Coturnix japonica: one gene and its partner. The protein of the gene in region 2 interacts with the protein of the main gene of each other region in a biochemical or structural test. Links are inferred from orthologs where the notes say so. Each region holds a gene or a part of one and is shown on either strand. Other genes may lie near its edges.

The links. The genes of interacting proteins can lie anywhere in the genome.
Region 1: the proteins of SLC9A1 (region 2) and TESC form a complex in vitro, tested with the Homo sapiens proteins (4 studies listed by BioGRID and IntAct, with this or other methods). The link is inferred for Coturnix japonica from reciprocal best matches to the Homo sapiens genes SLC9A1 and TESC.

The regions. Positions count from the first base shown.
Region 1 is NC_029530.1:10,142,213-10,146,479, forward strand, and holds the start of TESC (calcineurin B homologous protein 3), read left to right. Parts: upstream 1-1,416; coding exon 1,417-1,478; intron 1,479-2,146; coding exon 2,147-2,218; intron 2,219-2,511; coding exon 2,512-2,592; intron 2,593-2,999; coding exon 3,000-3,139; intron 3,140-3,213; coding exon 3,214-3,275; intron 3,276-3,343; coding exon 3,344-3,451; intron 3,452-3,534; coding exon 3,535-3,582; intron 3,583-3,647; coding exon 3,648-3,725; 3' UTR 3,726-3,802; intron 3,803-4,267. Other genes in the region: FBXO21 (F-box only protein 21), read left to right, coding at 191-369. UniProt on the Homo sapiens protein: Functions as an integral cofactor in cell pH regulation by controlling plasma membrane-type Na(+)/H(+) exchange activity. Promotes the maturation, transport, cell surface stability and exchange activity of SLC9A1/NHE1 at the plasma membrane.
Region 2 is NC_029538.1:1,686,595-1,691,096, forward strand, and holds the start of SLC9A1 (sodium/hydrogen exchanger 1), read right to left. Parts: upstream 2,984-4,502; 5' UTR 2,887-2,983; coding exon 2,559-2,886; intron 1-2,558. UniProt on the Homo sapiens protein: Electroneutral Na(+) /H(+) antiporter that extrudes Na(+) in exchange for external protons driven by the inward sodium ion chemical gradient, protecting cells from acidification that occurs from metabolism.

The DNA.
Region 1 (4,267 bases), on a different chromosome or scaffold from region 2:
ATGAGCTCTGATTACAGCAGACTCACAGTGCACTTCAGCTGAGCTGTAGGTTGCTATTATTTGTGGCATGCAGCAGTTGTGCTGTGGATGGGGGGAGCTGAGGGGCTTATCTTTGCTGAGGTGTCACTGCCCATATGCAGGACGCCTTGTTTTGCCTTGTGGTGGAACTGACCCGCTCTCTGTCCTGCAGAGAACCTGGAGCACAACTCGGAGCCTCGTGAGATCCCACACCCCGACATCGGCCGCTACTTCTCTGAGTTCACTGGCACTCACTACCTGGCCAACACTGAGCTGGAGATCCGGTACCCGGAGGACCTGCAGCTGACGTGTGCCACAGTGCAGAAGATCTACAGCTCCGGCAAGGAGTGAATGGCAGCAGCATCGCGAGGATGGACGCAGAACAGAGTGTAGCTTTACCCTCTTTGCAAACCTTGCCCAGAGGGGGCAAGTTTGGTGACAATCCTTTGGCTTAATGCACTGAAAACTGCATTAAACTTTGTAACCGGTGCTAATGCATCTTTCCGTTGCCTCCCTGCCCGTTCTGGCCCACAGGGATGCTGTGGTATGAGCTGAGGGTCTCACATTGACGGTGGTGCTGAGGAGCGTGTTGTCCTTGGGAACATCTGCCCACAGACTCGTTCTGTGCTTGTCCCGCCTGGAAGGTCGGCGCTGTGAGATCCCTGCTGTGGAGGAACCCCCGTCTTCCAGAGAAGCTGCTTGTCCTGACAGTGTTGTGGGGTTTTTGTTTTGGTTGTGATTTAATTTTCTTAACGTATATCTCACGCAGATGATAGTTTTTAAAGCCTGACGTTCCACTCTGTCTGCTCCAGTCTCAATTTGTGGGAAGCTGCTTCACCTCCATATTCTGGTCATTCACAGAGCTGTTCTAGTTCTGACCATCCTCACAGGCCCGGGGAGGAGCCCAGGGAGCAGCACACTGTCCTAATGCAGGAGCGGAGCTGCTGCTCCCTTACCCTGCCCTGTGTGTGCCATCCCAGGATGGCTCCGACCCACTCAGTGCTGCTTCAGCGCTGTGGGTTCGCAGCCCCTGCTGTGTGTGCTCCTGTCGGTGCTGCTGGCACAGCGGGATGATGGCTGGAAGGCGGCCAGCCTGGAGCTGAATTGCTGATCTGCTGATCGCTGCAGCTCGGAGCCCTTCGGCTGCCGGCAGACGAGGCTGGATGCGGTGCTGGGGGGGCACAGGGGGCACTCAGCCCTTCCGTTCTGGCCACGGGTATCGACTGGGAGAAAGAGCTGCCGAACTGCTCCAGGTTGGGTTGGGATGGAGGTGCCGGTGCCGCCCCCTGGTGGCGGGGCGGTCCCGGGGCGGTGCTGCAGGTTGGGCGGGGCGCTCCCCGCCCGCAGCGCTCCCGGCCGCGCGGTTCCCTGTGCGCACAGCGGCGGCGCGGCGGGGCCATGGGCTCCGCACAGTCTGTGCCCCCCGAGATGCGGGCGCTGGCGGAACGAACCGGCTGTGAGTAGTGACCGCGGGTGGGAGGGGAGCGATAGGGGGGGACAGCGTGGGACGGCAGCGCCCTACAGCCCCCGTGGGGTGGGATGAGGGGTTGGCTGATTGCTTGTCCCCCGGCATCGCGCTGCGGGGAGACGCGGGGCTGACACACCGCAGCACACCTCCAGCCGCGCTGTGACTGCGATTCCCAATGAGGATCATCAGGGATTATTTGGGTTTGCAGCAGTAGCAGAGAACAGCCCGGGGATGGGATGGGATGGGATGGGATGGGATGGGATGGCCCGTTCCTAACTGCGGTGTACGCTGTGGGATGGGATGGGTTGTGGGATGGGATGGGTTGTGGGATGGGTTGTGGGATGGGATGGGATGGGGGGTGGTTGGGGGCCCCACCGGCACCGCAGAGGGACCCCACAGTCCCCAGTGCTGCCCGCGGGAGCTGAGTGAAGCACAGCGGCTCTCCGGTGCCTTTGGGGGCACTGAGAGCTCCGATCGATGCGGCGCCGGGTTCAGGGCTGGGAAACGTCAGTAACTAATGGAGCCGTTAATTAAACATCATAAAAGAGAGGGAGACGGAGCGGCACTGAGCGCGGACCCGCTGCTGGGCTCGGCCCCGTCACCCACGTGCGGTTCCCGGTGTGTCCCCGTTTGTCCCCTCACCGCTCGCTTTCCCCGCAGTCACCTCGGAGAGCAGATCGAGAAGCTCCACCGGCGCTTCAAGCAGCTGAGCCACAACAGGAAAACCATCCGGTACGGGCTGTGCCGGCTGCGGGGCAGGGAGGAGGGAGGAGGGAGGCAGCGCCGATCCCTGAGCCCAGCACTGGAGCATCGCACAGACCTACGTGCGTTGGGCACAAAGCACCCCCTGCCCGGCAGCCCGGCCCCGCTGCTACACAGCGCTGCTCAATGGCAGCTTCTGCTGGGGAAAAGGAGGCGCAATATTGGGGCAAAACCAATCCTTGTGGTCGCGTTTTTAAGGACGGGCCGGGATTTCTGCCCGCAGCGTTCCCTCTCCCCCCCCCCCCCCCGTGTATTCTGTGCAGCAAAGAGGACTTCGACACCATCCCCGACCTCGAGTTCAACCCCATCAGGGCCCGAATTGTTCACGCCTTCTTCGACAAGCGGTACGTGCAGCCCCCAGTGGGGGAGCACAGAATCACAGCGCGGTTGGGCTAAAAGGGCCCTTCCAGCCCCAGCCCCAACCCCTGCCCTGGTTGCCCCCACCAGCTGAGGCTGCCCAGCGCCCGTCCATGGCCATGAGCACCGCTGGGGATGGGGCACCCACAGGTCTGTGCAGCCGGGGCCACTGAGGGCTGCACAAAGGCTGGGCTGAGCCGGAGCCAGGCTGGGAATGAGGGAAATTGGAGCTGAGCTCCGGGATCCGCTGGCGCCGTGCTCTGTGCTCTGTGCTGTGCTCCATGCTCTGTGATTTGTGATTACTGTGGCCGAGCAGCCCTGGGGCTGCATGGTGCCCGTGGGGGGGCAGGTTGTGTCGCTGCAGCTGCATCCCCATCAGCTCTGCTGCCATCAGGAACCTGCGGAAGGCGCCGGCCGGGCTGGCAGAGGAGATCAACTTCGAGGACTTCCTGACCATCATGTCCTACTTCAGACCCATCGAGATGGACATGGACGAGGAGCGGCTGGAGAACTTCCGCAAGGAGAAGCTCAAATGTGAGGCAGTGCTGCGGGGCGGCGGGTTCAGGGGGGGCACACACTGACCCCACATCCCTTCTCATCCCTCCCAGTCCTCTTCCATATGTACGACGCCGACTACGACGGGATCATCACGCTGCAGGAGTACAAAAACGTAACGTATGTGGGCACTGGGGTCCTCCCCGCTGCCGCGCCGCCCACCGCAGCCCCCACTGCCCACAGGTGCTGGATGAGCTGATGTCTGGGAACCCCCACCTGGAGAAGGAGTCGCTGCGTGCCATTGCAGAAGGGGCCATGCTGGAGGCTGCCAGCGTGTGCATGGCCCGCACGGTGCGAGGTTGGGGTGGGGGTGGCACTGCAGGGCTGGAACGGGCCACGGCTGCAGCTGTGACTGTTTGTCTCCCTGTGCGCAGGGCCCGGATGAGGTGTATGAAGGCATCACCTTCGAGGATTTCCTGAAGGTTGGTGCCTCACTCCGCTCCCCGCCGCCCACCAGCACCCGGCCCCGCTCACCCCTTCCCTGCAGATGTGGAAGGGGATCGACATCGAGACCAAAATGCACGTCCGCTTCCTCACCATGGAGGCCATCGCTCACTGCTACTGACCGGGGGCAGGACGGAGCCTTCCCAGCGCCACAGCGCCGGCACAAGGCCACGTTCTGCTCTTTAGAGCCATTAAGAGGTATTTTATCTGTAATAAAAGGTATTTCTGTTTTTACTCTTTGCTGAGAAATGCTCCAGCTGCTGCCAGGCGCCTGATGGAGTTCTCCATGGTGCCATGGGAGGTTATGGGCACCCAGGGAATAATAGGATCATGGGGCCACAAGGCCATGGGGGGACAAGGGCATGGGAGCAAAGGGACACAAGAGTTGAGGGATGCAGGAACAAAGAGTCACCGGGGACAAAGGGATGTGGGGATCCGGGGACCCAGGAACACAGGCTGCATGTGGCTGCCGCCCCCACATGTTCCCACTGGAATCAGAGATAACACTCCACTTACAGCACTAATAACCGGGTGGCTCGAGGCACATCTCTGTCTCTAAGGCAGCCTGAGCCAGGAGGGAGGGAGGGGAGAAAAGGGCAGTGGTTATTTTTAGAGAAGCTGGAAAAAAAAGTGTTTGTTGTTGTCTTACAAACCCACTCCCCC
Region 2 (4,502 bases):
CCCACAGCACCCTGTAGGAAATAACATCCCCAGGACCCATTTGCACTACGTGGCTGCTCCCTGGAGTGGGGCTATGGAGCTGTGGGATGCAGCAGGGCTGGGCTCCATCACAGCCCAGTCCTTAAGCAGGATGGAAACGGCACCTCTGTGCTTTGTGGTTCTAAATGGCAGAGCCTGAGGAGATGGAGCTGAGCCTGAGCCCTCCCCAAGGCCAGCAGCATATAGATGGGAGCAGGGGCTGAGCAGCACAGCACCACCAGCCCCAGCCCATGGAGCAAAGGGACCACGCTGCAGCCTGCTGGCACATTGCTGCCTCATTCTTCCCCTTCCCCCCCGGCAAAGGAAAAACATTTACAACCGAACCCAACTTGCACTGTGACGGTTCTGAGACAAAGTCTGGCTGCAGTGCTCCCAGCAGCTCCAACTGATGCTGCTCCACCTCCACCAGCACAGCCAGTGCTGGGAGCTGAGTGCATGGAGCTGGGGAAGCTGCAGCAGCACTGCTGAGTCTGTCCCTCACCCCCACCCCTCTCCCACACAGCCTTAAAATACCACTTGGTGCGAAGGGAAGCGCTCAGCAGGAGCCTCCCCTTCCGTGTGGGATGAGGGGAAGCAGAAGCAGCTCGAGCCTGTGGGCCGTGGATTGGTCACACATCAGTGCTGTGCCCCCAGGAAGGGAAGGAAGCGTCCATCAGCCAGCAGCAAAAAGAAGCCACCAACCTCTGGGATGCCCCTGCACTGAGCCCCGCTGCTGTTCATGGCACACAACACTGCTGTGGTTTGGCAGGAAGCTGCTGCACTGCTGGGATAGCTGGGGGAGATGGACAACAGGAGGCACCGAGCTGCAATTAGAGCCACGCTGTTAATTCCCAGCCCACACTGTGTTTGTTCCCCTCTTTGAGGGAGCTGCCTTGCAAAGCCCTACTGGATGGGCAGGGATGGGCTCAGGGGAGATGTTTGTCCCCAACAGAACCCCTTGGGAAGTTGCAAAGCAGCTCCTCCATCAATGCAGCTCCTCCAGCAATGCAACTCCTCCATCAATGCAGCTCCTCCAGCAATGCAGCTCCTCCAGCAATGCAGCTCCTCCAGCAATGCAGCCCCTCCAGCAATGCAGCTCCTCCATCACAGCCTTGCATAACGCTTTCAGTGCAACAGGACCCAGGCTCAGCTCACAACCAGGAATAACTTCCCATAGGCACAAAGGGAAGAAGCAGCTCCACTGCTGGGCTCCACGCTGCGGCGTTGCTCACAGCCGTTGCTTTTGGCTCCTCCTTTCTCCTTCAGCTTCCGCACAGACACTCCGGATTTCATCACTCATTCTGCTCCGAGCAGGATGAAGCCAAGGCAGCGCCACAGCCCCCAGCACCCAGCAGAGGCCGCGTGGTTTGGGGATCTGGTGTTTCCTGGTGTGTGGTTCCTCTTTAGGCACCCTAAAGCCATGTAGGTTGGAGCTGCACCTCCTGCTCGGCTGCTTTGCTCTGTTCCCTCCCAGAAATGCAGTGAGCTGCTGGGGCTGGAATGTTTTCCCTTGTAAATCAAGCACGAAGGAAGGGGAAGGAAAATGGGGTTTAACCAGGCAGTGCACATGAATGGGGTGGGGTACGGCGGGGCACGGTGTGCATGGGGGTCACCTGGACCCCTCTGCGCTGAGCAGAGCAGGGGTTGGAGCACTCAGTGCACAAAGCACCGTTCCCATTAAGTCACAGCTCTCCATGAGGAACAACTGCCGTTAAACCCGATGGGAATTGAGGTGCAAAACCCACGGGAATGCAGAGCTGCTCCCATCCCTGCCCCCCTTCCAACCTGGAAAAGGGAACAGCGCAGAGAAGCCCTCGGAGCTGGGCACTGCTCACAGCCGGGGCTGCTGCACTGCATCCCTTAATGGGGTGATTCCCCCACTATCAAAGCTGGGGAAGCACTCGAGTAACCGCGGCCACTTTGTGTCCCATCATCCTGAGCCACATTGAGCTGCCCAGCGGGTTGTGCTGCAGGCAGGGATAGGAGGGAAGGGAGCACGGAGCTGTTAGAAAGGATTTCTCCAAGGTTACAAAAGGCACAAGGTGGGTTTGGAAAGGAAACAAAGCACCGAACAAAAGCTTCCTCCCCACCGGTGGAGAAAGCAAAACTAAAACGTCAGGGTGCAAGGGAGGATCCGCTGTGGGGTGGCATTAGAACCATCTGTAGGGTTGGGGGGCACTGTGCTGCTGCCAGGCCTGCGGCAAACACAAGGTCGTGGGGAGAGAGGAGGATGCCCACTGCTGCTGTGGGATGGGGGGGTTCGTGTGGGCACTGGGATGCACCGGGGGGGCTGCCCTGAGAGGACAGGGGGGCTGCAATGGGGTGTGCAGGGTTTGTGAGCCCAGGGGGTTGCATGGGGGGGTTGCAATTGGGTGCTCATAGGGCTGCAGTCAATCAGGGGGTCTCAGGGCTCACAGTGGGGATCTCAGCGGGATGCTCACAGCACCCACCCCCTGCACCCAAAGGGTCCCTCCCTCCCGGGGGTCTCCAGCCCCGCGGTGCTCCCTCCCCCCCCCCACCCCCCAGCCCCCAGCCCCTACCCATCTTCATCAGGCAGGCCAGTAGGATCCAGAGCGCGATCTCGAAGGGGATGCGGACGTGCGAGTAGTCGATGCTGAGCACGGGGAAAGCCTTGCGGGTCTTGGGGTGCCCCTCTGCCGAATGGTTGTGGTGCTGCCTGTTCAGCGGGTGAACCTCCTGCGCCGTGGCCGGGGGGGCGGCGGTGATACCCCCGGCTTTAACCCACGGCTGCTCCTCGGTGGGTTCGGGACCGTGCGAGGCGTTGGCCTGCAAACCCTGCCCGGGTAACAGCGGGCCCAGCAGCAGCAGCAGAGCCCAGGGAAGGGCTCGCAGGGCCGCGGCCCCCATGGCCGAGGGAGCCGGGGCCGCCCCGCAGAGACGCTGCGAGGAGATGGGACGGCAGCGGAACGACGGTACATCCCGGGGCGGCCGGGGGGGGACGCGGGGAGGAGGCGGAGGCGGAACGTGGAGAGCTGGGAGGGGACGGGGCGGGGTGAGACGGGGGGCACCGGGAATGGGAGGGAGGGGGGTTAAAGGGGGGATTAAAGGGGATGTAAACGGGGGTGCTGAAAGGCAGGGACAGACTGCAAAGGGTGACGGTGGGAACGGTGAAAAGCAGGGTGTAACTTTAAGGAGGGGGGTTAAAGGGGGGCAAGGGATAAAGAGGGGTGCTGAAAAGGGGCGTAAGGCTGCAGGGTGCAATGGGGATGGGAGCGGGGTGCAAAGCGGGGTGCAGGTGTTAAGGGTTGCTTAGGGTGGGAAGGGGAGGTGTGTGGTGCAAAGGGGGTATAACTTTAAGGGGGGGCAGAGGGGGGTTGGGACTAAAGGGGGGTGCTGAGAAGCAGGGAGTGACTGCAAAGGGTGCAGCAGGAATGGGAGGTGCAAAGTGGGGTGCAGCTGCAAAGTGGGGTGTTACTTTAAGGAGGGGGTAAGTGATGCAAGGACAAAGGGGGGTTGGTGAAAGGGGGGGTGCTGAAAAACAGGGTGTAACTGCAGTGGGTGCAAGGGAATGGGGGGATGAGGGGCATGGTGCAAAGCAGGGTGCAAATGCAAAGCGAGGTGCAGCGCAAAGAGCAGTGCAAGCTTTGAAGAGGAGGGGTGCAAACACAAGGTGGGATGTGCTGAAGAGCGAGGTGCAACTGCTAATGGGGGCCTGGGGTTGTACTGCAGGGTTGCACAGGGGTGAGGTGCAATGCAAAGCTGGGTGCAACTGCAGAGGGGTGCAGAGGTGCAATGCAAAGCTGGTTGTGGGGACTGTGGTTGAGCCAGAGCAAAAAGTTATGGTGAACCAGTGCAAGGAGAAGGAAGTGCAGACGTCTCGCCAGGAGCTTGCACGAATGTTATAGCAAAGGAAATAAGCAGCAAGGATGTTCTCTAGGTTGAGCTGTGCGTGATTAGTGATAAGCCCTGGGTGGAGATCTGACATGATAATGAGCAACCACCTGAGGTTAATGAGCTGGCGCTGAGCTTGCGCACGCGTGTTACGGAGCAAGTTAAGTAACAAGAAGAGAAGCAATGGGTGACGCCATGCGTGCTTAGGCTGGCACCCAGCTCTGGGTGTGCTTGCTTTGAGAGCTGTTGCCTGGCACCCAACTCTGCAAAGACCTGAAATAAAAGTTCAGCGGTGCAATTCAGCTCCGTGTGCTCGTTGGTTTTAGGGTGCTGTGCAACAAGGGGAGTGCTAAAGCAAGGGGAGGTGGGGTGCAAGGTGAGGTGCTGGGGTGCAGAGCAAAGGGATGGATGTGCAAGGTGTGCTGAGGCTGCATATGGACCAAGGGGCCATAATGCAAGGTGTGAAAGGAAGGGAGAGGAGGGGATCTGGGTGCAGGTCCATGGGGTGCTGCTGGAAGGGTGACAGCTACAGCATGACACTGTGTTATGCGGCTGCTTCACTGCAGAGAGAGAATACCTTGCTGTGGGAACTGCAGAGCACTGGGAGAGCGCAGCAGCTGCTCACAGAGGGG